Linked DNA regions of Pelodiscus sinensis. The protein of the gene in region 1 interacts with the protein of each later gene in a pairwise test. Links are inferred from orthologs where the notes say so. Each region holds a gene or a part of one and is shown on either strand. Other genes may lie near its edges. The genes, in order: zinc finger and BTB domain-containing protein 8A, ZGPAT, FAM161A and KIF5B.

Region 1 (7,862 bases):
AATAGTTTTTGCACACATTCTAAGGGTTATTATTCCTGTTCATATTTTTTCATTGGATACATTTTTCATCCAGAACTATGGAATGAGAATTAAAAAATTCTTCCATTGTGAAGCAGAAAGAGAATTGTGTCACTCAAACTGCTCTGTAGCCAAGGGCACCATTAAACTTTTCTTATGTTCTGTATTTTGAAAGAATTGCAGTATAAGCATATGGCACTTATATTTTCTTAGTTTGGAAAAAATCTGTTACAACTCATCCATCAAATTTTATCTTTCAAATAAATGAATGTGTGTTCATGTGTGTCTTCCTTATTACAGCAATTTGTTTTGTATATTAGCTGCAGAACTTTTCTTTAGCAAACACATAACATTTAAAGAAAAAAAATACTGTATTTGAGTTCTTGGATTTTCAAGACAAATATATTTTATACATGTCTGAGATCTTTTAGCATTTTCTGGTATTCATTCTAGTTTTATATCTAAGTGAAACCAAGAAAGACACACTTTGTAAAATGTATGCTAATTATTAGCATCTTAATGAAGAGAAGGAGATTTCAATCTCCTTTTTCTAGAGCCAGTTTACAAGATAAGACTATTTGTCTGGTTTCTGAGCTACTGGTTTTGATGCAATAGTTCCACCCCTAGAAGAGACCTTCCTACCAATCATCCAACGCCAACTCCTGCAGACTCAAAAAGTGAGAAACATGAGACCTAGGACTAAATAAAGAAGCTATAGAAACTAAAACCTGCATGGTGCCCATTGAAAAAAATTATGTACAAAGAACAAATATCTTCTTTGCAAGAAGTGCACCAGTCCAGGTAATCATCAAGTGATCCCACCCCGTTACCATTCCCAGCCTCTGACAAACAGAGGCTAGAGACACCTTCCCTGCCCATCCTTGATAATAGCCATTGATGGACCTATCCTTCATGAATTTATCTAGGTTTTTTTTAACCCTGTTAAAGTCCTGGTCTTCACAACATCCTCTGGCAAGAAGTTCCACAGGTTGACTATGTTGCGTGAATAAATACTTCATAGAATCATAGAGCTGGAAGAGACCTCAGGAGGTCATCAAGTCCAGCCCCCTGTCCAAAGCAGGACTAATCCTAACTAAATCAACCCAGTCAGTGCTTTGTCAAGCCGAGACTTAAAAACCTCTAGGGATGGAGATTCCATCACCTCCCTAGATAACTCATTCCAGTACTTCACCACCCTCCTAATGAAATAGTTTTTCCTAATCTCCAACCTAGACCTCTCCCATTGTAACTTGAGACCATTGCTCCTTGTTCTGTCATCTGTCACTACTGTGAACAGCCTCTTTCCATCCTCTTTGGAACCTCCCTTCAGGAAACTGAAGGCTGCTCTCAAATCCCCCCTCACTCTTCTGCAGACTAAACAAACCCAAATCCCTCAGCCTAACCTCATAGGTCATATGCTCCAGCCCCCTAACCATTTTGGTTGCCCTCCGCTGGACCCTCTCCAATGCGTCCACATCCTTTCTATGGGGAGGAGGGGGGCAGAACTGGACACAATACTCCAGGTGTGGCCTCACCAGAGCTGAATAAAGGGGAATAATCACTTCTCTAGATCTGCTGACAATGCTGCTCCTAATGCACCCAATATGGCATTAGCCTTCTTGGCTACAAGGGCGCACTGCTGACTCATATCCAGCTTCTCATCCACTGTAATCCCCAGGTCCTTTTCTGCAGAACTGCTACTTAGCTATTCGGTCCCCAGCCTGTAACAATGCTGGGGATTCTTTCATCCCAAGTGCAGGACTCTACACTTGTCCTTGTTGAACCTCATGAGATTTCTTTTGGCCCAATCCTCTAATCTGTCTAGGTCACTCTGGACCCTATCCCTGCCCTCCAGCGTATCTATCTCTCCTGCTAGCTTAGTGTCAAGTGCAAACTTGCTGAGGGTGCAATCCATCCCCTCATCCCGGTCATTAATAAAAATGTTGAACAAAACTGGTCCTAGAACAGATCCTTGGGATACTCCGCTAGAAACTGACAGCCAACCTGACATCGACTTCATTTGTTTTAAACCTGCTATCTATTTATTTCATTTGGTGACAGCTAGTTCTTGTGTTATGGGAACAAGTAAATAACTTTTCCTTATTCGCTTTCTCTACATCCGCCATGATTTTATAGACCTCTATCATATCCCCCATTAGTCTCTTCTTTTCTAAGCTAAAAAGTCTCAATCTTTTTAATCTGTCTTCTCACACATGTAAAGTAACATTCCTGTAATTTTATCCAAAGTAAAACGATGGGATATTATCTTCCAGAACATCGATTTTGTTCTCTATTGTCACTGTTTCACAGGAATGTCTGGCTACTAGGACAAATGTAGGCTGTGGTTCTGAAAAACCTAAGCATATGCTTAACTTCAAGAACCTTTGTAGACCTGCTGAACTCATAGGAAGCAAGTCTTTGTAGGATCAGGTCTGTGGTTAGAAAATAAAAACAATATTTATTAATTCTGAATGAAAATGTTATAGCAATTATTCCTCAGATTATTGCCTAATAAAATAGATACACTGTTAATACATGTTGTATTTAAGAATGCATAAAGCTGCAAGTAATAAAAACATTTAACTTCAAAGGAGAAAATATTACATTCTATTACATACCAATCACATATCCATGCCATTGCCCTCTGTGAAACAAAGTTCCTAGATGAAATATTTCTCCAATGTAGTTTCTACTCATATGACAAATGCCATTCTCTTTTAGACCTAAATTTAACCATGTCCCACTCTAATCTGCCATTCATTCATTTGAATTATAAATTTAGAACGGCACACTACAGAATCAGGAAACTGAAGTTGTGGAAGACAGTAGCTTCCAGTCCGACTGTTTTGTGTCTATCTTTCTTTTTGGCACTTGCAGATTCATTATAGATTATTTCTGACCTTTCAGGGAAGATTCGTATTCTTCAGTCTTCACTCTGTTACAATCCCCCCACTCCTGCAATTTGAGTAAATGTGAGCTGTTTTGACTAAGGACTGCAGGATTTGCCCTATGTTACACAGTTAGCCGCTAATTCATTTTGAAGCAGTGCAAAAGCACAGAGAGAAATTTGTGATGATGATACTCATCTAAGTACTTGGTGTTAGTTTATTTACCACAAATGAAGAATTATGTCTCCTTTTGTCAACAGCTCTCCATTTACACATAAATACAGGGACTCACAAACCAGTACTCTTAAGGGCGGAGTTGGCAACTTCAGGTTGTGTTTTGTTAGATACAAACAGAATGTGCTCTGTAGAATTTGGTGTATAATTTTGTAAACAAGGATTACACCCCTATGTGCGGTATATATGTACAGTCTGTGTATCTGTTCTCTGACAAACCAAACAACATAAAATCTGGCCCTTTTTGCAGGCAGCTAATGCATTTATTTCATGTATAAAATCATAATTGTTTTATTGTATTGTATCATGGCAGGTAAGGAACTGGGGCATCCTGTCAACCCAGGGTGTGCTCAGTTAAGTGTGAAAAGGAAGGAAGGAAGCATCCTATACTCTTTTGATGTCTCAGAGGGGTAGCTGTATAATCTGTAACTTTAAAAACAAGGAGTAGCAGTAGAAGGGGACGTCTACGCAGCAGCGTTATTTCGGAATAACTGATGTGATTTCAAAATAACAAAATATGCGTCTACACCACAAGCCGTTATTTCAAAATAAGGCGAGCTGGAGGACTTCTTACTCTGCCTCCTGTAACCCTCATTTCAGGAGGAGTAAGGGAAATCAGAGGAAGAGTGTTCTTCCTTCGACATCCTGCTGTGGAGACAGAGCCAAAAGCCAAATTACATTATTTCAACTTCAGCTATGCAGTTGACATAACTGAAGCTGCATGGTTTAATTCGACTTTTGCCCTGCTGCGTAGACATACCCTTCAATACTAACAAAATATATATAGTATCGTGAGCTATATGAGGAAGTGGGTTTTGCCCATGAAAGCTCAGGATACTATACATATATTTTTGTTAGTCTCGAAGGTGCTACAGGAATACTCTTCAAGCATCCAGGAAGGATGTCAAGTGGAGCATGCAAGGGGTGATAAAGGACTGGAGCTCAAAATGCCACTGAAGAGCAAGTCCCCCATTGAAGTCTTCCATTGAAGAGCACAAGGTTAGCCAGGCTGGGTAGGAATGGTTCCCCTTACCTCTGTCAGGCTGGAAATGGGTGAGAGGAGAGGGCTCACTTGATGCTTACCTAAAAAACAACAACGAATGTTCCTATGGCGTGAGACTACCCAAAAAATATAGATAGTATCATGAACTTTGTACCCACGAAAGCTCATGATTCGATCTGTATTTCTGGTTAGTCGCTAAGGGGCTACAAGGCCATTGTTTTTTTAGTTACAGACTAACACAGCCACCCCTCTGAGAGTTTTGACAATCCTGTTCTGTCCGCTGCATGACACTGGCCACCCTCCACAGACAGGACAGGGTGCTACATGGACCTTTGGTCTGACCCAGAGTGGCCATTCAGTCAGGGGGAGAAAGAAATGGGACACCAGGGCCTACATGATACAATCTGAAGGGGTTGAGAACAACTTGAGGGCTTAGCCCGGCCTTGAAGGGAAAGTGGGTGAGAGTCAGGCCCGGGCTTGGCGTGAGACACAAGGATGTGGGGCATCGAAGGCCCCACTGTGCAGCAAGGTGCGGGAGGAAGCGGCTCGGGCTGGAGAGGGCTGCAGGGGAGGAGGGGGAGCAGAGGGAAATGCAGCCCCTACCGCCAGGCGCGCAGCGGAAGCTGCTGGGCTGCGCCTGCAATCGGTGCGTTGCCCCTTTAATTGTGTCCCCAGCCCTCGGGCGTCTCTGTCCGACGCCCACGTCAGCAAATCCCTTTTGTTTCTCTCCCGTTCGGGCTTCCGCGGGCTGGGGCGGCGGGACCCGCCAGCTGCATCCGAGCCACCGAGCGCCCCGCGCCGGGCTTTGGGGGATCCCGCACCCACCTCCCGCTCCGCCCGGAGCCCGGCCGGTAAGTGGCGGCCCCGCAGCCGGCGGGCCGGACTGGGCGTTGCGGGCTGGGAGCGGGCCCCGCAGCCAGCCGCTTGCACGGGGCGGTGGGGCGCTGCCGCCGGCTGCCTTGCGCGCAGGGGGCTGGGGCCCTGACGCGGCCACCCCCGGGGCCCCGCTGCTCTCGGGGGCCGCCTCTTCGCCCCGGAGCCAGCGGCGTCTGCAGAGACCTCGGCGGGCGCCATTTGCAGCCCGAGGCGCGGCTGCGAGGGGCCGGCAACAAAGGGCTGGCTGGGGAGCGGGGCGGCGGGGAGCCGGGCGAAGGGGGCCGGGGGGTGCGAGGCGGGCAGCAGCCGCGGCGGGGCTGCACAAAGGGGGAGAGAGGCGGGAGCCGGATGGACACACGCCAGCGGGTGCAGGCGCGCCCTGCAAGCGGGCACTGTCCGCCCGGCTGGTGTCCCCGGGCGCATGGCGCAGCGGCCGGCTGGTGTCCCCGGGCGCATGGCGCAGCGGCCGGCTGGTGTCCCCGGGCGCATGGCGCAGCGGCCGGCTGGGGGGCGCAGCTCCGCCGAGCCTCTCTCGGGCGCTGGTGGCCCGGCCGCTAGGGGAGCGGAGGAGGAAAGCGGCCGGCCCCGCCTGCCGCGGTCTCTCCCTCGCTAGGCGCTGCCCCCTGCGCTGGGCGGGCGTGTCTGGCGCCGTCGGGCGCCCCTGGCTCCCGCGGGGGGAAGGACCAATTCGGGCTGGACGCGCGCGCTGAGTGGCGGCGCCCTCCGCCAATGTCCCGGTGCGGGGAGCTGGTGTCCAGGGCGAGTTGTGCGCGGCTGCTTCTCTCCGCCGCCTCGGTCCCCTCTGCCCAGAGGATGCGGCGTGGAGTCAGGGCTGCGCCTCCCCTCTCTGGGCTCTTGTGGGTTTGAGAACGAATGGGCTCTTAAAAACACACCTGGTTTTGGAATTGGTGGCAGCCCCTCTGGTTTACATGCAGCCTGTCACGCTTGCAACTGTTCTTTATTGCAGAGCAAGGCTTCCTGCTTGCCCCCCTGCCCCCTCTTTTTTTTTTTTTTTTTGGAATGGAGATTTCTTCCCATCAGTTTCACCTCCTGCAGCAACTCAATGAGCAGCGCAAGCAAGACTTGTTCTGTGACTGCTGTATCCTGGTGGAGGGGAAGGTCTTCAAAGCCCATCGCAATGTGCTGTTTGCCACTAGTGGTTATTTCAAAATGCTCCTTTCCCAGAGCTCAAAGGATCCGAGTCAGCCAACCACTGCTACCTTCCAGGCCTTTTCTCCTGACACGTTTACAGTTATTCTGGATTTTGTGTATTCTGGCAAACTTTCCCTCACTGGCCACAATGTGATTGAGGTCATGTCGGCTGCCAGCTATCTTCAGATGACTGACGTTATTAGTGTGTGTAAGACGTTCATCAAGTCCTCCCTGGACATCAGTGAGAAGGAGAAGGATCGGTATTTCAGCCTGTCAGACAAAGATGTGAACTCCAATGGCGTGGAACGCTCCTGCTTGTATGGGGCTGACTGGAGAACGGAAAACAGCCCCCCTCATTCTCACTTAAACCCTGATCAAGGGACTTGCGTGATGAGTGGCAATGCTTGGAGCAATTTCAGCTACTATCCAGCTTCGCAGAGAAATGCGCAGCAGCAGTTGGCCAAACATGACCAAAGGCAGGAGTCCATCAAAAAGACTAGACATTTGGGATTGCAACAATCCTCCGACGTTCCCCATTATAAGTCAAGCAAGCTTGAAGACCGATCCGCAGACCCTCCTAGCCACCTTTCTCCATCTGAGGAGGAAGTCCAAATTGACACAGAAATTGACTCTGCCCATGCTGGGTACCAGTATGGTCAGGGGTCCGAGGTGATGCCAAGGAGCTTGGTTGTTACACAGCAAGAACACGAATCACCCCATTCTTCTAGCAAGTCAAAGTCCTCAAAAGCCGATGAGCAGTATGGCAACATACCCTCAATTTTAGGTGTAATGGGGAGCTGGGCTGAAGGTAAGAGTTGGTCATTTGTACCTCTCTCCTCATTTTCTTTCAAAGATGATGTTTGAATTTTTACTGGGTGAAAGTTGCAATGGAAAACATGTATCACCAGCTCTGTCGATGGGGAAAAATATCTGACTGTGTCCAAAAGGCAGGGGGAGGGAATATGTTCAGCTGCATTGCCTACAAATGCAGGATTGGAAAATAATATTCCCTAAGTGGTCCAATTCTGTAATGGCATGAACGGTACCTCTCTACTGTAAGTCACCAAGTTCTGAATTGGTTTCTCAAGCTTTGGAAGGATTCCAAAATGAGGTGAGTGTCATAGAATTAGAGCTCTCACTTTTTCCTCTCCCGCTTTAATTCCATTAACCCCTGTGCCGTTAGGTAGACACAGAAACACAAAATCATGCATTGAAGGTATTTAGCAAACCATTGGGACCCTGGGGTAGGTTCTCAGCAAGGGTAAATCTTTAGCTCTGTTGATTTGTACTCCTTTTTATTTCTGCAGTATCTTTTTGGAGATATGGTGTCCAGAACTGAATACACTATTCCAAGGGAGAGTGTACCAGCTGATGGTATTAGCTCTTCATAGTAGTTTTCAATCCTTTCCTTTTTACATTGTAATACTTGTGGTGTTTTACCATTGTTGCATGCTGAGCAGAAGTCTTTGCGGAGCTGTCCACAAGGATCCTCAGGATGTAGAGCAGTCAGGTGCATACATAATTCCATCGTATGAACTATGAGCTGTTTATGGAAAAGAAACTGAGTAGCTGTTTTTTAGCCAAAGTTCTCTCTTTAGTACAGAGAATATCCGAGACTACTCTTTCAAGTTGGAACCAAAGTGGGCTTTTTTTTTCCCCTATAAAAGGAATATAGGATCTTATTAAGTTCT
Region 2 (7,087 bases), on another chromosome or scaffold:
GTTTCAGCAGCAGCTGACTTGGGGACGCCTGGGGCAGAGCAGCTGGGGTGCTGCTGGGTTGGTCCAGTAGCGTCGCCGCTCCTCGGCGCTACTGGACCAACCCAGCAGCACCCAAGCTGCTCTGCCCCAGGCGTCCTGATTCAGCCGCTGCTGAAACTGACCAGCAGCAGCTGAATCAGGACGCCTGGGGCAGAGCAGCTGGGGTGCTGCCGGGTTGGTCCAGTAGCACCCAGAGCGGCGCTACGGGACCAACCGGCAGCATCCCAGCTGCTGTACCACAGGCGTCCGGAGCAAAGCCGCGGAGCACGGGGGCAGCGGGACAGCCCAGATGCGCCGTGGCTGTCCTGCTGCCCTTGGGCTCCACGGCTTTGCTCTGCTTTGCTCCCCGTCTCCCTGGTCTGCAGACCAGGGGGACGGGGAGCAAAGCCGCGGAACACGCGTCTGGGCTGTCCGCTGCCCGCGTGTTCCGCGGCTTTGCTCCCCGTCCCCCTGGTCTGCAGACCAGGGAGACGGGGAGCAAAGCAGAACAAAGCCGCGGAGCATGCGGGCAGCGGACAGCCCAGACGTGTCTGGGCTGTCCGCTGCCCGCGTGCTCCGCCGCTTTGCTCCCCGTCCTCCTGGTCTGCTGGAGACCAGGGAGACGGGCCCCGTTCGTAACTGCGGATCCGACATAAGTCGGATCCGCGTAACTCGGGGACTGCCTGTATTGTGTTTAGTTCTGGACACCGCATTTCAAAAAAGATGGAGAAATTGGAGAGGGTCCAGAAAAGAGCAACGAGAATGATTAAAAGTCTAGAGAACATGACCTATGAGGGAAGGCTGAAGGAACTGGGTTTGTTTAGTTTAGAAGAGAGACGATTGAGGGGGGACATGATAGCACTTTTCAGATATTTAAAAGGGTGTCATAAGGAGGAGGGAGAAAACTTGTTCATCTTGGCCTCTGAGGATAGAGCAAGAAGCAATGGGCTTAAACTGCAGCAAGGGAGGTTTAGGTTGGACATTAGGAAAAAGTTCCTAACTGTCAGAGTGGTCAAACACTGGAATAAATTGCCCAGGGAGGTTGTGGAATCTCCATCTGTGGAGATATTTAAGAGTAGGTTAGATAAATGTCTATCACGGATGGTCTAGACAGTATTTGGTCCTGCCATGAGGGCAGGGGACTGGACTCGATGACCCCTCGAGGTCCCTTCCAGTCCTAGTATTCTATGATTCTATGATTCTGTGCTTAATGAAGCCCATACAACTGTGTGTCTGCAGGCTTACTGTACTAAAATCAGATAGGCAGGATCAAATTCAGACCTGGGGTAACACTGCTGAAATACCGAAGTGACAGCAGGGAATAAATTGGCCTGTGCTGGTTTGGGAAGAAGTGAATGGAGCTGTGTGTGCTCCTCCATGCTAATGGGCTACTAAAAGCACATACCGTTTTCCCCGCATTGTCCAGCCCAAGGATCAAAATGCAGTACTCATCCCTACGGAACATGTACTTATATAGTCCAGACAGCAGCGTATACATCCTGCTCCTGCAACAAATATCAAGATGTCATCAGCAAAGGAGTTTTCCCCGAAGCCTCTTTTTCAACTGTATAATTCTGTTCAACTACCAGATAACAATACAATTTTATATATATATAGCATTTCTCCCCATGGGGGATCCCAGAGCCAGTTACGAACTCTAGGAGACTGACTTTTAAAAGAAATGAAGGCCAGATTTTCAAGTGTTCAGACTCAACACTTGGGTGTGGATTTTCAAAGAACTCAGCTCTTGTTTAGGCACTTAAATAGGGCCAGATTTTGGAACATGCTCAGCCCCTGGCAGCTTCTATCACTATACTCATGGCCAGATTTTCAGCACAGCTCAACCACTAGCATACACCCTTTATGCTGACCATTTCTGAAAATCTAATCACTTATTTTGGTAACTACATGGGAGCTTGTGAGTATTTGTCTAGATAGCTCCCTGAAATGTAGGTGCAAAGGAAGATAACAGCCAGATGCACAGTAGCTGCACATGTCCAGAAAGGAGTTATCGGGACTAATGCAGAAGGCAACCCAGTGGCTGTGTCTAGACTGGCAAGTTTTTCTGCAAAAGCAGTTGCTTTTGCGGAAAAACTTGCCCACTGTCTACACTGGCCTCTTGAATTTCCACAAGAACACTGACTTCCTACTGTCTGAAATCAGTGCTTCTTGCGGAAATACTATGCTGCTCCCATTCGGGCAAAAGGGCCAGTGTAGACAGCTCAGATTTGTTTTGCACAAAAAAGCCTCAATTGCGAAAATGGCGATCAGGGCTTTTTTGCGGAAAAGAGCATCTAGATTGGCACGGACGCGTTTCCGCAAAAAGTGCTTTTGTGGAAAAGCGTCCGTGCCAATCTAGATGCTCTTTTTCTCAAATGCTTTTAACGGAAAACTTTTCCGTTAAAAGCATTTGCGGAAAATCATGCCAGTCTAGACGTAGCCAGTGTCTGTTGAGATGTACCAACGCAGCCTTAAAGCTCTCACTGAACAGAAAGGACCTACGTTTTAAAAGCATATGCAGTTTTTTGTGAGAATTTGAACATTCCTCAGTAGAACCTCCTCTTGCAGTGTCTCTAGTATATGCACTGCTGCCTCACCAGGCATGAGGACCAGTGAAAGTGACTAGTCAGTAACCTGAGTGAGGGTAGTCGATTCAGACCAGACAGCTGGGCTGCTGTACAAACAAGCTCCCTTTCATAGGGTTTGCATAGCACAGATGCACACATGCACTTTGCCCAACTGAGGCAAAGTTCACTTGAAGCTTATGAATGGGATTATATTAGGTGCTAGCCTGTGACCTTCCCTTCCACACCTGGGGGGCACTGATCCCTCCTGGGAGGTAGAGGATTATGGGTGACACCTGCAGCAGTCTGAGGGAGACGCAGCCCTGGAGGCTGGAGCCTCCCAGCATGTTTTGGGTGCAACCTGGATCCTCCCCCCCCACCACCACAACCCACAATGTGCAAGGGCAGCCTGTGGCACCCACAGTCCCAGCTCGCAAAGCTTCCCTGTAAACGAGGGACAAGCTGCTCCGCCAGCCTGGGCAGCACCACCTGCAACTGGGACCAGGAGCCCCTGCGAGTCGCTTGGCTAGAACAGAGGTCGACTCCCCACCAAAGGCAGCGACACCTCATCTCCGGAGCCCAAAGCCTGGGGCAGGACCCAGGGATCAACCCCCCCAACCCTGGGACCCCCAGCTCCGGCCGCACGGCTGGGGCCCGCCCCATAGACCCACCTCGGACCCCCAGCTCCGGCCCCACGGCTGGGGCCCGCCCCATAGACCCACCTCGGACCCCCAGCTCCGGCCCCACGGCTGGGGCCCGCCCCATAGACCCACCTCGGACCCCCAGCTCCGGCCCCACGGCTGGGGCCCGCCCCATAGACCCACCTCGGACCCCCAGCTCCGGCTGCACAGGTGGGGCCCGCCCCATAGACCCACCTCGGACCCCCAGCTCCGGCCGCACCGCTGGGGCCCGCCCCATAGACCCACCTCGGACCCCCAGCTCCGGCCCCACCGCTGGGGCCCGCCCATAGACCCACCTCGGACCCCCAGCTCCGGCCGCACCGCTGGGGCCCGCCCCATAGACCCACCTCGGACCCCCAGCTCCGGCCCCACGGCTGGGGCCCGCCCCATAGACCCACCTCGGACCCCCAGCTCCGGCCCCACCTCTCCCCGCCCCCCGGGCTGCACAGCGGGGGCCAGGCCCAGACACGCCCCCTCCCGCTCGGCCCAGGCCGGGGGGCCCCCCCGCGGGCAGGGGGAGCCCGGCGAGCCGGTGACTGGGGGGGCTGCAGGCTCCGCCCACCCGCGGAGCTGGGGGACAGTGATGGCCCCGCCCCCTACCTGGGTGACGGGTCTCGACGGCTCCTGCCACTCAGCCGCCCCGCGACTCCCGCTGCAGCTCGAATCGGCTCCCCCCTCCCCCCGCGGCCGCCTCCTACCCCCCACTGGGTGGGCAGCTGTCTCCGCCCCGTGCCCGCGGGGCACCCTGGGAAGCGTAGTTCCTCCGGCGCCAGGGACTCGGAAGGGGAAGGCCTCTTGGACCACCGCTCCCAGAATGCTCAGCGCGCCCAGCCGCGGGAGGCGTCCTCGCTTCAGCCCGCCGGAAACACCATTGGAGGAGGAGCTGGAGGACTGGCCCGCCCAAGATGGCGACGGAGCCGGAAGTCGACTCTAGCCGGAAGCCGGGTGGTGTCTATGGTGTGGCCTGTTCCGGGAGGCGGAAGCCATGGCAATGGAGAGAGTCATGGCGGCTGCGCTGGCTTAGCGGGAGCGGGCGGCCTGAGGTAAGGGAGGGGCCGCGGGGGCAATGGAGGTAACCGTTCCCCTGGGGTCTCCATGGCGACTGAGGGGAGTAGCCCCTCCCCCCGCCGCTGGGGGAGCTGCTGTGTCTCACATGGGGGGAGGGGTCGCCTTGGCTGGGGAGGGGTTAGATCACGTGAGGCGGTTGGGAGTTATTCTCCCCCCCCCCGGTTGCTATGGCTGGGGAGGTGCTGGGCCCCCTCCATGGGGACTCTTGACCCCCCCCTCATGAGGGATTTTCAGCTTCCCTCTGCCCCATTGAATGTGAGGCAGGGGGCGGCAAAGGGGGCAGCCCCTGGATCCTGCAGAGCGGGGGGGGGCAGAGGAAAGGTGCGGGTTGGGCGCAGCCCAGGGGTCTTTGCCTCCACTTTCACAGCAGGTTTAATGCCGCCTGCGTGGGAGGCAACGTGAGCAGAAAGATGTAAGAACAACCAGACTGGTCCATCCAGCCCAGTGTCCTGCCCACAGTGGCCAATTCCAGGTGCCCCAGAGGGAGGGATCACAACAGGGAATCCTCATGTGATCCCTCCCCTGTCACCTATTTCCAGACAAACAGAGGCTGGGGACACCATTCCTACCCATCCTGGCTAATAGCCACTGGTGGACCTAACTGCCATGAATTTATCTAACTCTTTTTTCAACCCTGTTAAAGTCCTAGCTTTCACCACATCCTCTAGCAAGGAGTTCCACAGCTTGACTGTGCAATGAGTGAAGAAAAACGTCCTTTTATTTGTTTTAAACCTGCTGCCTATTAATTTCACTTGGTGACCCTTAGTTCTTATATTTGGGGAGCAAGTAAATAACTTTTCCTTGTTCACATTTTCCACACCTGTCATGATTTTATAGACCTCTATCATATCTCCCTTTAGTTTCCTATTTTCTAAACTGAAAAGTCTGTCTTTTTAATCTCTCTTCAGATGGGACCCGTTCCAAACCCCTCATCATTTTTCTTGCCCTTTTCTTTACCTTTTCCAATGCCAATATATCTTTTTTCAGATGAGGCGACCACATCTGTATATAGTATTCAAGATGTGGGCGTACCATGATTTTATATAGAGGCAATAAGATATTTTCTGTCTTATTTTCTAACCCTTTTTAAATGATTCCTAACATTCTATTTGCTTTTTTGTCTGCTGCTGTACACTGAGTGGATGTTTTCAGAAAACTATCCACAATGACTCCAAGATCTCTCTCCTGAGTAGTTGTAGCTAAATTAGTTCCCATCATATCGTATGTGTAGTTGGGATTATTTTTTCCAATGTGCATTACTTTACATTTATCAACGTTATATTTAATTTGCCATTTTGTTGCCCAATCACTCAGTTTGGTGAGATCTTTTTGAAGCTCTTCACAGTCTGCTTTGGTCTTAACTATCCTGAGCAGTTTGGTATCATCTGCAAATTTTGCCACCTCACTGTTTACCCCTTTCTCTAAATCATTTATAAATACAGGCAGTCCCCAGGTTACATGGATCCGACTTACATCGGATCCCTACTTACAAACGGGGTGAGGCAACCCCGCACTAGCTGCTTCCTCCCAGCAGACCAGGGAGACGCGAAGCTAGCGCGCCCCCCCCCCTCCCCAGCAGACCAGGGAGATGCGGAGCGGCTTTTCTCAGCAGACACCTCAGCTTGAGAATAAAGGACTGAGGGAAGTGAGGTGTGGGAGAATAAAACTGAGCTCTGGAGAAATGTTTGGCTAGAGTTTCCTCTACAATATGTACCAGTTCCGACTTACATACAAATTCAACTTAAGAACAAACCTACAGTCCCTATCTTGTACGTAACCCGGGGACTGCCTGTAAGTTGAATAGGATTGGTCCCAGGACAGACCCTTGGGGACCCCACTTGTTACTAGTTATAATTAAAGAGGAGGTAGGGAGTGGTAGTGTTGTGTCATGGGACTGCAAGTTTAAAGGGACAGAAAAGTAAGGCTGATGTTATTCGCATGTCCTAGTTAATCATGGTTGAATTCTGAGGTAAGTTAAAAGCTTAACAGTTTTTCAAGTGCGATATCAACGGGGCAGGTTGAATGTACATGACACGAGCCATGTGTGTATAATGATATACGGTGGTAGCTGTTTGCATTACAGATATCTATTCAATTAGGATGGCTATCCTTGTGACTGCTTTCTCTAATGAAGCTTTATAATATTTGTTCCCTGCAGTGTTTTTCATCTGGTTGCAGCAAAGGGAAGAACACAAGACTACTGCAGAGATTGACAGCTAGTTTGGACAGAGACTCCATATTTCACATTTCTGTCCAGTAAATACTTGAGTATTTACCAAGTTCCCAGACAGGAATCAGCGAAACAGCTCTTTGCAATAACAATGGATGAAGAGAGTCTGGAAGCAGCAATTCAAACCTATAAAGCCCAGTTGCAACAAGTAGAGCTGGCTTTAGGGGCAGGGCTCGATCCATCACAGCAATCTGACTTGATCCAATTGCAGGAAGATTTGAAGCAATTGATAGAACTGACTGAATCCAGCCTGGTGTCAGTGAAAAAGAGCAAACTGCTGGCCAATTTAGACACCGATGGACCCTCCATTTCTCCAGCAGGTTCCCTAAAACAGGACAGTAATTCTGGCAGGTCCTGCAATGATGATGAGTATGATGCTTTTAAGGAAGCTATTGCTGAACTTGGTGGTGAGGACAAGCAGTTGTGTACTAAAGACATGGCCTCTCCAGAACAAGATGGAGAGGATGATGGGGGAAATGAATTGAAGTACAGTGACGAGGAGGAAGCGTCTGAGGAAGAGGAGGAGG
Region 3 (7,362 bases), on another chromosome or scaffold:
AGCTGTTCTTATGTTCTAGGTAACAGGCTGTGCAAGCCCTGGAAAAACCGTTACAATTGTTGTACGTGGATCCAACAAGCTAGTTATGGAAGAAGCTGAGCGTTCAATTCATGATGCTCTGTGTGTCATACGTTGTTTAGTAAAAAAAAGGTAATGCTTTCTTCATATAGTGGCTTCATACACAAATCATACAGTAAACTGTAAGCACTTAAATGTTTGTCAAAGACCACAGCTTGTATTTTTAACAGAATTTTACTTTTTCCCCCTCAGAGCTCTAATTGCAGGAGGTGGAGCACCAGAGATAGAGTTAGCATTTCGCTTGAATGAGTATGCTCGTACTTTGAGTGGTATGGACTCATACTGTGTCCGTGCATATGGAGATGCAATGGAAGTCATCCCATCTACACTGGCTGAAAATGCAGGTCTTAACCCTATTTCTACGGTAACAGAGCTGAGAAACAGACATGCTCAAGGAGAGAAAACAGCAGGCATTAATGTCAGAAAGGTAAGATACAAAAGGATTATATGAATGATGGTCAGTTAAACAGTTTGATCCTTTTGATGGAATATACTTGAGAATAAAGACAGACAAAGGTTGCCCAACTTGTAGCCCAAAACCCTCCTCAATCAACCTTGCATATCATTGCAATATAACAATTTTCATGGTCTGAGAACTGCTTTTAAAAACTGCTTTTAAAACTGACTAGTTGTAGACATGGTTAGGAATCTTATCAGACTTTTTTTGATTGAAAGTGCCCTTTTTGCAAATATTAATATTCCAACTGAAAAGTTCCATTTGGTTGAGAAACTGAAATTATGACTTCTGTGCAGGCTACCTAGAATCTGCAGGGAGGCAGAGCAGCCCACTGCACCGTCTCCTGTGTAGCCTGAGTGCCTCTCTTCATCATCTTTCAGATGGACAGACAACAAACTAAAAAAATTATTTTGCTTCTCCTGAAATGAGATTTTTCAGAATTTGTCCCATGAGAAATTTCAAGTTTATATTTTGTTCTAAATGGGACAATGTTTTGTTCCCAAAACCTCAATTTTCCATATGTTAGCAATCCTATTTTTCGGTCATCTTGCTAGTTTAAATATATTTGGCTGCTAAAATCTCAGGTGCACTCTAAAAATCCTGTAGTGTGAGTAAGGAAGGTGAGTTAGAGTGCACCTGAGACTTTTAGCAGCCAAATACATTTTTAACTAGCAAAGATGGCTGGAAAACAACCTGTGAGATGCTAGTCTCAGTAGTTCTCTCTTCAGCCATAAGAACTAGAGACATTAATTTTTTGAAAATGAAACATGTTTGGATGCGAGAGCATCAGATGTAGCCACCGGGTAAAATACCTGCTCACTCAGCTGTTGTGACGTGAGTGCGTTCAAATGAACTGTGTATGGTTATTTGCTGATAAGGTATTTGTTTTCTCTTTTTAAAATTATGCTAGATAGGAGGCTACTGGGGATAATTTACAGGTATGTTAAAATCAAATTTGTTGTTTGCTTTATACTGCTGAGGCTATAATTCTTGTTTTGTAGGGTGGAATTTCCAATATCCTGGAGGAGCTGGTGGTCCAGCCTCTGTTGGTGTCTGTCAGTGCTCTGACACTAGCTACAGAAACTGTCCGCAGTATTCTTAAGATTGATGATGTGGTAAGTAATGTTTTTTATTATCATGTTCTGTTAATGTTGCAGTACAGTGACATGAACAAGGTATATCCCTTGTGTAAAGGATTCATATTTAAAGTGAATAGTTATATGCCCTTTCCATGTAATTCAGCAGTTTCCTGATAACTGTTAAAAATGAAACCAGTCTTATGGGAAAACAGTACTCAAAACCAAGTATTAGTTAACACAGCAGGCCAGATTAAAGCACAGGATACAAAAGGATTATGTATGAAGTGATCGCTTTAAGATGAGGGATATTGATGATTGTTTCCCATCCACATAATCTGATCATGTTAACTCATCTTTGCAGGTGAACACTCGCTAAGATGACTAAAGGAAATGGCAGTACAGCCCAGAGTATCTACGGTGTAGTCTGGAGTATGGTTTCTTCAAAGAATCCGTGTGTCAAGCATTCTGCTAAAATTCATTTACGTTTATGTACTTTTATCAACTTAATTTAATAAATTCTCTGCTCTCGAGACAAACTTAGTTCATAAGTGAAAGACAATGTTCTATAATTGAAAATCTGCATTAAAAACTCACCAAATGATACTAACATTTTGCTAGTTTTGCTGTTGTTAATCATATACTTTCTTTCTCACTACGTGAACCTATTTTGATATCTAAATTTAGCTTCTGAAATCTGTCCTTTTGAAATAATTCTCTTGCTGTGGAAAAACGTAAATGATGGATAGTCTAGTAGCACCTTTTAAAGACTAACAAAACACGTAGATGGTATGAGCTTTTGTGGACACTAAAGCTCATGATACCATCTATGTGTTTTGTTAGTCTTTAAGGTGCTACTAGACTATCTGGTTTTTCTTCCTGTTGCAGACTAATTCAGCTACCCCTCTGAATCTCTTACTATGGAATCTTAGTAATAACTGTACTACCTCAGACCTGTTTTTGCAAAATTCATCCAAAACAATAGTTCATCCTTCCTCTCCTACCCAAGGAGTTGTTACAGCCACTATGGTGCATGGCAACTATAGGACTGTACTTTGCCCTGTAATTTAAAGTGTACATTTCTTTCTGCAAATGTTTCCTTGTCCATTAATGCCTATATGCCAATGTCTTGTCTCTCAGCCAACACACCTTTAATACATTTCATTGTACTTCAGCTACCCAGGACAAAGGCTTCTAGCCTTTAATTGCTGAAGTTTCCTTCATTAACTGCAAATGGAAATACTTATTAGTTGAGATTTTGTAAGTTATGTTTCAGGATCACATTCTAGTATTTGGTCATTAGTTGTCACACGAGGTTGGTAATAAACATGCCAAGCACCCTATTACAGGATTGAAGCTGATCTAATTTTGTAAATACAGTTTTAGATATTTCATATTTGGGCCTTAAGGAAATATGCTGCCAAAATAGATCTTATGCTGACTTTACAGATCTTTGCAATCCAAGACTTAATATTAACATCTTTGTATGTAGTTTAGGGATAATTTTTGGTGGAGGGGGAGACTCCAAGCTTTTGGTAAGTAGTCAAGGTCACACTTTTCTAGGTGTGGGGGGAGACAGTGAGGTCTTGGCTACTGATTGAGAGTAGAAGGGAGTTCAGGAGCAGGCCACTTGGGTGCAGGAAAGGGGGTGGGATCTGAGGAAGTTTGGGTGAAGGAGGAGGTTGTGACCTGGTCCAGTGCATTGGGGTGTAGGCTCCAGGAGGGGTTAAAGATACATTCTGGGAGTGTAGCAGAGTGTGCAGAGTCTGGGAGATAATAGGGGCATTGGAGGGGGTGGGGTGCCAAAGGCAGGCTCTTGCTAGCAAGTGCTTATGCAAACAGCTACTGGACAGGTGACTGCTCCAAACAAGCTTCAGTGCTTGGCAACAACCCTAAATGCCTTCTGTTCCATGTGGCTCTGTGATGTGGGCGGGGGATGGAGGAGTTCATGCGCTTCTACTCCCTCCAGCAAAATCTCTTAGCTCCCTTTGGTGGATTTTTGGCAAACGGGCAGAGAGATTTTGCTGACTGTGGGGCACCAGGGGAAGCCTCTTCCCATTCCCCCCAGTGAAGGAACAAGGAGCAGCTTGCTGCTTTGGGTGTCCTATGCTGTAGGGGTGGACTGATTCACCCGATGCATCTTGCTCACCCCTGTTCTAAGAACTACTCAGTTGGTCTCTGGCCAATTAACTCCCCCAACTGGGATGGCCCAAGCTCTTCCCCTGGGGTGACGTTCCCATGTTTCAGTTCAATGAAAGTTGGCTGAAATACACTTGCTTTATCCCTAGGGGGTTTGGGAAGGGAGAGGGTAGCACCTTCTGTCACTAATCATAGCTTGAGCAGCAGAAGTGGCACAAAACCATTGCAAGCATATCGAGTGGAGACTCGAAGCACTCTGACAAAGATACATCTGCCCATCGGCTGTGGTTCCAGCCCATCTAGCACTGAATTACCCTTACGCTGAACTGATCGAGGAAGCTAACTTGGCGCGGGGTGTGCATCCAGCCTTCCTGGGAACAGCCTGAGCAGAAAGGCGCAGCAACTCTCAGAAGGGAGGACTGACAGCCCCCTCCTCCCCAACAGCGGGGCAGGAATCTCCGCACTCCGGGGTCCCCGAACTTCCCGTCGCGCCGCGGTCCGGAAGGGCTCTAGGAGGGCGGAGTCTCAGCTTGGGGCTTGACTCGCAGTCCGCATAGGTTTGTCCTAGTAGACGTGCCGTAGCGTCCCCGGTAACCGCTGTAGCTGGGAGCCAGAGGCGGCGGCCGAGCCAGCCGCTGCCCGCGGAGTATGGACGCGGCGCACCGCGCTGCGCTCCTCACCGCCTCCTGCCTCAGGACGCCCGTGAACCCGCGCACCAGGGCGCCGGTGGCTCTGTACGAGCGGGAGAGGCGCCCAGCGGCCGCCGTGGAGCAGCAGGTACCGCGGGGGCGGGGCGGGGAGCCCGGGCCGTGTCTCCTGCGCCGCTCGCCCCCCGGGTGAGGGCAGCGACATCCCGCTCCCCTTGCGCGGGAGCCTCCCCCCCCGCCTGAGCCGGGGGCTGGCGGCTCCGGCCGTGGGGCGCTCTCGCAGGGCGAGGGGGGGGCTCCTGCGCCCCGCACATCGCTGGGGCTTAGCCGTAGGGAGCCGCTCCAGCCCCCACCGGTTAACGGGGACCGGTCAGCATTACCCAGTAAGGGTGATAGGTACCGCTAATCCCCACTTCGGCACAGCTGAAGCCTGGCAGCCATGCTGAAGCAGGGGGCGGAGTGTGGGTGGGACCATGCGTGGCCGTTTGAGAAGGCAATGCCTTTCCCTGCCTCTTATATCTGCTGCCCATGGGGGTGAAAGTCTGTGAGCATCTGATCGCTATTATGTCAAGTAATGTCTCTGTTGTATAAGGGAGGCAATGCATTAGAAAACGTGGAACCGGTGGCATTCTCCTAGGCTGCCTAGCTCCTGCTAACCTTTTCATGGCTTTGATGCTGTGCTTTATGGAGTTCCATCAAGTCCAGTGACTGTCCCAACCTGCTAGGAGAACTAGGATTTAGTAGACAGATGGCTGCTTTTCCAGCCAGAAAGGGTCACCAGATCTGACTGACCTCCTGTAAACACAGGGCACCAGCACCGCCCTGCATGCTAAATGCCACTACCAAAATTAGTCTAAGGTATTTCAGCTTCCAGGAGACTGACCACTGTGCGCCACAGGCAGAGAACAGGAGGAACCAATGTCCACCAATGCCTGAGGCCCTTGGAATGGCAGGAAATTGATTGAAAGCTGCACAAAGATGATCCTAGCAGGCAACTTGCATCCCACACTGTGGAGGAAGGTGAAAATTCCAGAAGACTGCTACCAGTCTGATCCTCCCTCACCCCCAATATGTTGCTATGATATTCCTTGTGGCAACTGCAATAATGCTAAGGAACAAAACACACTGGGTTTACATTTTAAATAGGGTAAGATGATCTTCTGAAGATTAGTCTCTGGATTAATGATGTATTTTTAATTCTGTCTTCAAGTGAGATTTTAAAACTAAAAGTAATATAAGTTTTGTCTCTTAAGGAAATACTTTGGCATGTGGTGAAGTATTTTCTGATATATAAGGACACCCGTGTTCCAAGTCTGCCTTTTTAAAACAAGATGCTACAAGAGCTGTAAGAGATAAAGGAGATTATTGATGAGAATATAGGAATGATTCCTGTAAAAATGTGTTTTAAAGAGGGGTAGAAAGCGGAGTGTAGTTTCAAGTTCAGGGAAGAGATGTTGAAAGGTGTGAAGGTAAGAATGAAGGGGACAGCTTTAAAGCAAGAGGTGGTGCTGAGTTTAGCATACTGAAAGGTAGAAATAGGAGTAAATGGGAAAAGACATGTAGATGAGAGTAAGATTATGTAGCGTGATGAGAATGAGAACAAAGAGCTTGAATGTGATGCACTAGGCACTAACAGAAGGGGTTTGAAGATGAAGTAAAAAGTAATCCTACAAAAATGGAGAGAAATTACTAAGGGTGAGTACAAAAGAACAGTAAATGAGTGGCTATGAAATCAGAAAGGCTAAAGCACAAAATGAGATATACCTAGCAAGGAACATAAAAGAGGTTCTACAAATGTGTTAGGAGCAAGAGAAAGACAATGGAAAATGTAGGTTTGATACTTGGGGGGGGGGGAAGGAAAACTAGTAATGGATGATTTGAAGAAGACTGCCCTGTTTAAGGCCTATGTTGCTTCCATCATCACTATACGCAGTCCCTGAGTTACGTGGATCCCTACATACGAACAGGGCTTTTCTCGCCACGGAGGATGTGGGCGGCAGGACCGCCGCCCGCGTCCTCTGCAGTGAGAAAAACTGCTCCGTCTCTCCCTGGTCTGCTGTGGGTGGGGAGCGCAGCTAGTGCGCCCCCCCCCCCCCCCCTCCCCAGCAGACCAGGCTTTTCTCGCCGATGCCTGGGGTAGAGCAGCTGGGGCGCTGCCGGGTTGGTCCCCGCAACGCCAAGGTGTGGTGCTGCGGGGACCAATCCGGCAGCGCCCCAGCTGCTCTGTCCCAGGCATCCAGATTCAGCCACTGTTGAAACTGATCAGCGGCTGATTCCAGGAAGCCCGGGGCAGAGCAGCTCTGCCTTGGGCTTCCTGTAGTCAGCCGCTGGTCAGTTTCAACCAGTGGCTGAATCTGGACGCCAGTTCCGATTTACATACAAATTCAACTTAAGAACAAACCTACAGTCCCTATCTTGTACATAACCCGGGGACTGCCTGTATAAAGCTTAATTTATTAGTAAATCAAACAGTTTATTAATATAATAAGGGGAAAGGAACACAAGTAAAAACAGGGTTAAGGAATATTTAGATAGCAGGGCCTGATGAAATTCATCTTAGGGTACTTAAGGAACTAGCAGAAGCAGACTTGAAAACATTAGTGATTATCTTAACTCATGAAGGACAGGAGAGTCCCAGATGACTAACAGGCAAATATACCCCATATCTTTAAAAAGGGGAACAAAGAGGAATTATAGACCAGTCAGCCTAACTTCAATACCTAGAAAGATACTGGAACAAATTATTAAACAATCAGTGTGTAAGCATCTAGCTGACATAGAGTAATAAATAATAGCATGAATAAACATAATTTGCCAAGTCAATCATGCCAAATAATACTAAATCAACCTATTTTCCTCCTTTGACGGGGTTACTGGGATAGGGAATGCTGTAGATGTGATACATGCTGATTTTAATAAGGCTTTTGATACTGCTCAATATGGTAAAATTACTATTAGGGTGATA
Region 4 (7,054 bases), on another chromosome or scaffold:
TTCAGCATTACAGCTGCATATCAAATTTAGTGATGCTAGCTCTTAGCATTAGGAGTTCTTGAACAAAAAGAACTCTCAAACTAAATTTTATCTCAGAGAATGTTTTGGAATCTTGCCATATCTCAGGAGCAAAGCAAAAATGCTTAATGATGGGAATTCCAACATATTCACTGTAAAGAGCATTTGTTTCCAGTCCCAGTGGTTGGACTAACAGTGAGATAAGACTTAAAAGACTGTCACTGGTATCAAATCCCTATGACTACTGAATGTTTTACATTGGGCCATCACTATTGCAGAAGCATAAGGTTATTAAAGTAGTAATTACAATGCATGTTAATTCCTTACCAACTGTCAACTGTCCCCACCTGGTCCCTAAGGAGAATGACTAATTCACCTCACACTTACTTAGTGAGTGGCTAGCCCAACTCAGATGTTATTTTGCAATCTTACTAGAAAAGCAAACCCCACACTATTGTGATGTTTTCTTCATTACCCAGGAAAAATTCTAGCTTTTGCTTTGGCGGTAAAAAGTTGTCAAGAACAAAACAATCAGCTTTTTTTCCCAGTTTGTAAAAGGCGGCTACCTACACTACATGGGTAATGTTTCCGAGTGTCCACTTCAAATTTTCTCACTTTTATTATATGAAATCTAAACCATGAATCCTCCCCATGAATATCAAGCCCCTGCCCTATTAGCAATGATGCCCTTTGGTCCAAAAGGTAGTTTCCAGAAGGTTAGAGAATTGGGAATTAATAGACAGTTTATCACCTAGAAAATTATATACATCTCAGGAACGGACCTTACAACTTTTGATTTCAGAGGGGACAACATGGTGTTTGTATGAATGGATACTCAGAACCAGTGCTGGCCAAGATGTGGCCCGGAGCCAATTGAGCCCACCTAACATTTTGACCCAGCCCACAGACTGTGTGTGGATGCTTTCTATTTATATTCTGCTGCCTGTGCTACCGAATTTCCAGGCAGAGGCTCACGCGGCAGGATCCTATTTAAAATGGATCACGGCTATAGTGCTACCCCAGCAGGGACTGGAGCAGTGAGCCCTTTAAATAGCCACAGCAAGCCTGGGCAGCTGTCAGGCAATGTGGTAACAGCAGGGCTGGGAACTGTGAGCCCTTTGCAGTGATTTTAATTTAAAGTCTCTGGCCCCAGACAACTCTGGGGAAAAGGTAGTCCCGAGCTCTGTCCCTTCTGCCCCAATCTCTACCCTTGGGGTGAAGCCGGCCTGTGATCACATACCAAAATTCATTAAGTGCCCCCCCCCAGCGAAAATTATTGACCATCCCTGCTCTGGACCAAGCATGAGAGTTAGTGTACTTACTCTGATAGTGACATCAGCTTAGTCATATTCTGCATTTGCTAACAGTCTAGCTAAATGATGAACAAGGCTTCTGTGAAACAATGAGAATTAATGAGGTCTGCAGCACCAATCTGATCTTGAATGGGCCAACAGCTCATTTCAGGAGCATTCTGTTTACTTTTCAGTGGCCTACTCACTACCAACCTGAACTGCATTTATATCAGAAACAGCAAAAGGTTGCATATTCCATTAGCAATGCATTAGTTTTTCCTAAAACTGAATTTAAGAAATACTTTAAAGCCTTGTACTATAAATATGAAATTTTCTAACAAGTTTTATTTACTGTTATGTATTTGTTCCAGTTCCAGGTTAAGCTGCTATGAATAACTGTTTAATTTGGGTTGCTTCAAAAAGATAATAGTGTGCAGAATCTGAAATCTAAACAAACATCAGTAAAGTATATTTTAAAGTTATATTCCTCTCTAAATGCAGAATTCTGATTCCATGTAGCAAATTATTCATCTGAATGTGCAGATTAAGAATGTGTGAAACATGAAAAAAATCTCTCTCTGTGCAACCCATTTATCAACAAATACCAATGAAACCACAGAAGACAGTTACTATAAGTGAAATAGAGAGTTAAACCATAAAGTTAATAACTCATTCTACAGCAGCTGCATTACAAACTGGCACTGCTGGAATTATCTTTTTCAGGATACCAACCAAATCTCTTTGCATCAAGCTTCTATTTTGCAGTAAGCAATTTTTATTAAATTAAAATTATAATTGTGTGTGAAAAAAACAAAGGCATAATTTGACTATTTTATTGGGCAAAGTATTAGCCACTAACCCACTGGTTGGTGGACTGATCACAAAACACACTCAATAGATTTTATTTTGCCAAAACTATTCAGTGGGCAAGTTACTCTGGTAATGTCTCTCTTAGGCATTACCTTAGTTGCCAACCTTAATTAGGTTACATAAAAAAGTCTAGTTCTTTTGAACATTTTCTTCTGTCCCCATTCACCGTATGGTCTTACCTCACTTCAAAACTACCACGTAAAGTCATGCCCAAAGTTTCTAGCGCTGTCAGTAGCTCTACAAGAGGTCTGTGAGGCAGGGAGGTTTTGCTTAGGAGGCAGTTTTATAAGTTCATACACACCGCCCGGCCAACCCCTGCGCCTGTCCTGCTCGTTCTTCTGCCCTGTCACACCCCCACGAAGCTGCTCCCCTTGTCTGGCCCCCTCAGCTCCTCCAGCTCCCCATCCCCTCCTCCGAGCCCTCCCCCTTCGTACCGCGCCCATCCCCAGGGTATCCGGCCCCCTCCCCAGCCCGCCCCGGCGCTCACCGCGATGATGACGGTGTCCTCTCCCTGGAACTTGGTGATGTCTTTGTCGCCGCGGTTCCGCTCGGAGTCGTTGAGGGGCCTGAAGCGACACATCACTTTGATGTTACATTCCGCCGGGTCCGCCATCTTAGGCCAACGCCGCCGCCTCCGGGGCGCTTAGCCCGGCCGCCGCTGCCTCCGCGCCGCTCACTCCGGGGTCCTGCGAGCGGCCGCCGCCGGCAGAGCAGCGCCTCGCTGAGCAAAGGGCAGAGGGGAAGGGCTCCTGCCTGGCCGCCGCTGCCGCCTACTGTTCTCACTTCCTCCCCAATATGGCAGCCATGGCGGCGCCTGCAGCCGGCGAGTCCAGGCCCTGCCCTCCCCTGGCAGAAGCAGCCTCGACAGCAAGGCAGAGAGGGGGTGACGTCACTCGCCGCAGAGAACACCTACCCCTCCCCGCCTCAAATTCACCACGCAGGCGCGCATCGAGGACAGCGCCGCGGCAGCAACCGAAGAGCTGCATTGCGCAAGCGCTCACTGTGTAGGGCGGGAGGAGATGAAAACATGGTCACTGCCGTATGCAAAAATCTCCTGCGCAGGCGCACAAGTTGTCTTTGGGCGCCGCTGTAGCGCAGACGCAGTCATTGGGTGAAGGAGGCCGACGGGGGGAGGCATGTGGAGGGCATGATCGGAAGTCGCAGCAGCAGCGGGGGGCGCCCTTCCTTCAGGGGCAGGGAGTTGGGGAGCAAGCGACAGGGAGGTGCTGCTAGCGGAGCATTCACAAGGCGCTGAGCCTATCAGGGCTACCCTCTCTGTAGCTGAGTCGACCCTCAAAGGCTTCCCCCAGCAGGCACCCTCCTTTCAAAATACACCCCAGGGCTCTGTTTTGTGTCATTGTTTTTAGCATCACAAAATGACATTAAGCCATGGCTTTCAGAGATCACAGATCCACCCAGCTATGCCTCTGCCATCTAAATGAAACCTTGGGCATTGGTGTCACATGAAGAGTCCCTGTGGTTTTCTATCAGTTCAAAATAATTTTCCTCTGAAATTGTGATCGGAAGCCTTAAGTTATGTGGCTTCTGGACAAATTAAATTAATAAACAGCAGGTTTAAAACAAACAAAAGGAAGTTTTTCTTCATGCAGTTCACAGTCAACCTGGGGAACTCCTTGCCAGAGGAAGTGGTGAAGACTAAGACTTTAACAGTGCAGCAGGCACACAAGAATTCTTGGAGCATCTGAACTCGCACAGTTTGGTGGCAGGCATGATAAGGGGCCTACCAGGGCACCATCTTGAAGGCAGGAAGGAGAACAGGGTTCATTCATGGCAGTGGGGCGGGGCAGCAGTTCATGCCAATTCCCTCCTTTTTGTCTGGCTCAACCTGCTTGCCAGAAGAGTATTATTTTTCGCCTTCCTGCAAGAGCCCGCAGGCGGGAGGACTAGAGGAGGGGCCGAAGCCTCCTCAAGAGCTGCAGCCGTGCTTCACCGGGGATGGGCAAATGGAGGTTAGTAGCAAAAGCAGCAGCTAATAGCTTCTCCTCCTTCATCCAGGTTGCCATGTGAGATATCAGTCTTCTCTGAATTACACACAGAGATAAGGAGCTGATGCTGACTAAATGCGGTCAACAACCTAGTTCTTACGCTGCAATGCTTTGTGCTGCAATGCCACCGGACCACTTTCTGGTTGTGTGGCATAGGAACGTGCCCTACCATGAAGTATGGAATAAGGCTGGCCTCCCCAGAAACTTTGTGAGACGGATTAAAGACTTAACTGTACAAGAGTTTTCTGGAGCTGTGCAGGGGAGATTCCCACTCCATCTCCGGACATGTTAAGAATCTGTTCCAGGTTCACCCCACTGTGTAGGCACGGAGCACAGCCAATTGCTTTAATCTGCTGGTAGCAAATAAAAAATGTGAACTCATTGGAAAGGTCCTCCTTTACATCAGTGCCTGACTGTGAGATGTCCCGGGAGGAAGGGATTATCTCTAAGGTTATAAAAAGTTCTTGGTTCTTGGTCACATCAACTACCCACTTGCTTGCTGACCATTCTTCTCCTCCTTGCTGTCTTCCACACTGCTACCCTGATGAGTGTCTTGGGAGGATTCCATGGTCTGGTTTGGGATGCTGATTGGGTCTCCACCAGTGTCAAATACAGCTGCTTGTAGAAGCGACATGTTTGCAGCGATGCCCCAGACCATTCGTTTTCCTCCTTTGTCTTGTGCTCAGCTTCTTTATTTTCACACAGCACTGCTGGGCATCCCTGGTGTATCTTTTCTCCACCATGGAGTTGCATACTTCGCATAGATATCTGTGCTACATATGCTGGTTCAGAGCTTCACGAGAATTGATTCCTCTCCCCATGCATCTCTGAAGTCCAAGATCTCCTTCATGCTCCATGCTGGTACTCATCTGCACAAATGAGAATTGAAGCTCATGAAACTTGAACTCATGGAACTCATGCCCAAGTATGCTGCCTGCTCTGAGATCTGCTTGCCATGCTGTCCACACAGGAAATTAAATTCAGAGTTTCCCAGGGATTTTTCTGTTCACCTGAAGAGTGATAGAGTCACAAGCCCTGACCAGAGCCATTACAGTGGGATGCCTCCAAGAGGCCAAGAACATCTACTTTTACAATGCTGGGACTACACTACAGTAAAGTTGACCATGCAAGGTTGAATTTAGAATTACTCTTCATGAAAAGCAGGAGTACCAAAATTGACTTTAGTAACTCTTAAAGTTGAAGAAACGGGCTTGGCAGTGTGGACTCATTGTTTAGAAAATTTCCTTATGCAACTAAATTCCACCTAAACTCCTAGGCTACGTCTACATTGCTGACTTGCCGGCAGTGCCTATACAAATGAAGCATGAATTAGCATATCACCGTGCTTCATTTGCATAATTTATTTAAGCCTTTTTTGCACAAAACCCCTTTTTGCGCAAGATTCTTATACTTCTCCTAGAATGGCATAAGGATCTTGCTCAAAACAGGGTTTTTGCAAAAAAAAAACCCTGTCCACACTGCTTGTTTTTGTGCAAAAACCCTTTGCACAAAAAGGGTTGAACAAATTATGCAAATGAGGCACGGAGATATGCTAATCTGCGCTTTATTTGCATAGGCACAGCCAGCAAAGCCAGCAGTATAGACAAAGCCCTAGTGTAGACCAGTCCTCAGGAAATGAAGACAGAGTTGTGTGTGAAACAGGTTGTGACTGCCAGATGTGAGAGTAGAGTACAGGTCTGGGGGAGCAGCAGAAACTGGTTAGGGCGCCAGTACTGAGGGACCCAATGAGAGGCATTAACTGAACCTTGCCTGCAAACCTGGAAGTTCCTATTTGCTTGAATGAAATCTGGAGTGGAGCAGGGCTAAAGAGCCTTGACTTCTTCAAGTGGACCGCCCCAGTGACCCAACCAAAAACTGTTGTTCATTTTGAATGGTAACTGTTCAAGCCTCTGTAGCTAGGGTATTTGCAAACTGCGGCTTTCCTGCCAGCCCTTTTCACGTAGCCATGTGTCTGAGTGGTTATGGGGACTCACTAGGGTAATGTCTATAAGGTCTAGTTGCTGAAGAACCTACAATACTTGCCTCAGAATAGCAGTGTGTGTGTGCATGCAACTGGTACCCTAAGGTTTGGTGCACTCAGACACTGAGCAGTCCCAATAATTGTGCTAGCCCATCCTAGGTCATGTAACTGGGAATTATTCTAAATATTACCAATTATCCCAGTGTATCCACAGCTGTTTCTCAGTTTAATACATGACATAATTTGTTAAAATCTAGTTCTGTGTTGTGAGGCAAGTTTGCAGTCTTCTCAATCAAGATCATGTTGTAACAAGCCCATCCTTCTGCTCTAGTTGAAACCTTTGCAGGAACATACCGTCTTAATCAGGACAGTAACAGCTACACCTCCCAGACACGTAAGTACTCTATGCAATAATTATTATTCACAGGGTGTGAATACAGTCAAATGGGGCACAAGGCTTGATGCAGTAACTGTTCCCCTTTGTCAGGGAGTAAGGGGAAAGTGCTGCATTCCTCACTGTGGCTGGGGAGCACAGGGGCAGATGAATCTGGACCTGCCCCAGCTGGAGGACATGCACCCCTCTCCCAGCTGTGCCAACTGGAGCTGCAGCAGTCATGGAGAGGCACTTCTCACCTGGCCCCCAAGCTGCTTCTGTGAGAGGAGTCTGGGGGTAGTCTTCACTCCCCGGGGCAGCCTCATCACCACCCCCACCCCAGAGCAATGGTTTAAATGGAGCATATACATTTCCGTTTTATTTTCCAAAAAGCACAAATAATTGAATTAAGGACCCAAGCAATGCTAGGTAAATCGTCTAGTTTCTAAATAAAAGAGCCTGTTTATGTTTGTTTATAATTTCAGAACTGTGATTAGTTACTTAAACATAAACC

Evidence for each region.
Region 2: the proteins of zinc finger and BTB domain-containing protein 8A (region 1) and ZGPAT interact in binary tests that used the Homo sapiens proteins (3 or more experiments, as listed by UniProt). The two-hybrid records come from large-scale screens. The link is inferred for Pelodiscus sinensis from reciprocal best matches to the Homo sapiens genes ZBTB8A and ZGPAT.
Region 3: the proteins of zinc finger and BTB domain-containing protein 8A (region 1) and FAM161A interact in binary tests that used the Homo sapiens proteins (3 or more experiments, as listed by UniProt). The two-hybrid records come from large-scale screens. The link is inferred for Pelodiscus sinensis from reciprocal best matches to the Homo sapiens genes ZBTB8A and FAM161A.
Region 4: the proteins of zinc finger and BTB domain-containing protein 8A (region 1) and KIF5B interact in binary tests that used the Homo sapiens proteins (3 or more experiments, as listed by UniProt). The two-hybrid records come from large-scale screens. The link is inferred for Pelodiscus sinensis from reciprocal best matches to the Homo sapiens genes ZBTB8A and KIF5B.

Annotation. Positions count from the first base shown.
Region 1 is NC_134735.1:3,441,633-3,449,494, reverse strand, and holds the start of zinc finger and BTB domain-containing protein 8A, read left to right. Parts: upstream 1-4,859; 5' UTR 4,860-4,994; intron 4,995-5,986; 5' UTR 5,987-6,039; coding exon 6,040-6,979; intron 6,980-7,862. UniProt on the Homo sapiens protein: May be involved in transcriptional regulation.
Region 2 is NC_134728.1:3,544,729-3,551,815, forward strand, and holds the start of ZGPAT (zinc finger CCCH-type with G patch domain-containing protein), read left to right. Parts: upstream 1-4,081; 5' UTR 4,082-4,305; intron 4,306-6,488; 5' UTR 6,489-6,651; coding exon 6,652-7,087. Other genes in the region: ARFRP1 (ADP-ribosylation factor-related protein 1), read right to left, coding at 1,424-1,516. UniProt on the Homo sapiens protein: Transcription repressor that specifically binds the 5'-GGAG[GA]A[GA]A-3' consensus sequence. Represses transcription by recruiting the chromatin multiprotein complex NuRD to target promoters.
Region 3 is NC_134713.1:180,771,397-180,778,758, reverse strand, and holds the start of FAM161A (protein FAM161A), read left to right. Parts: upstream 1-4,361; 5' UTR 4,362-4,398; coding exon 4,399-4,527; intron 4,528-7,362. Other genes in the region: CCT4 (T-complex protein 1 subunit delta), read left to right, coding at 20-150, 271-505, 1,537-1,650, 1,976-1,990. UniProt on the Homo sapiens protein: Involved in ciliogenesis.
Region 4 is NC_134712.1:229,673,541-229,680,594, forward strand, and holds the start of KIF5B (kinesin-1 heavy chain), read right to left. Parts: upstream 3,013-7,054; 5' UTR 2,794-3,012; coding exon 2,668-2,793; intron 2,517-2,667; exon of another isoform or gene 2,360-2,516; intron 1-2,359. UniProt on the Homo sapiens protein: Microtubule-dependent motor required for normal distribution of mitochondria and lysosomes. Can induce formation of neurite-like membrane protrusions in non-neuronal cells in a ZFYVE27-dependent manner.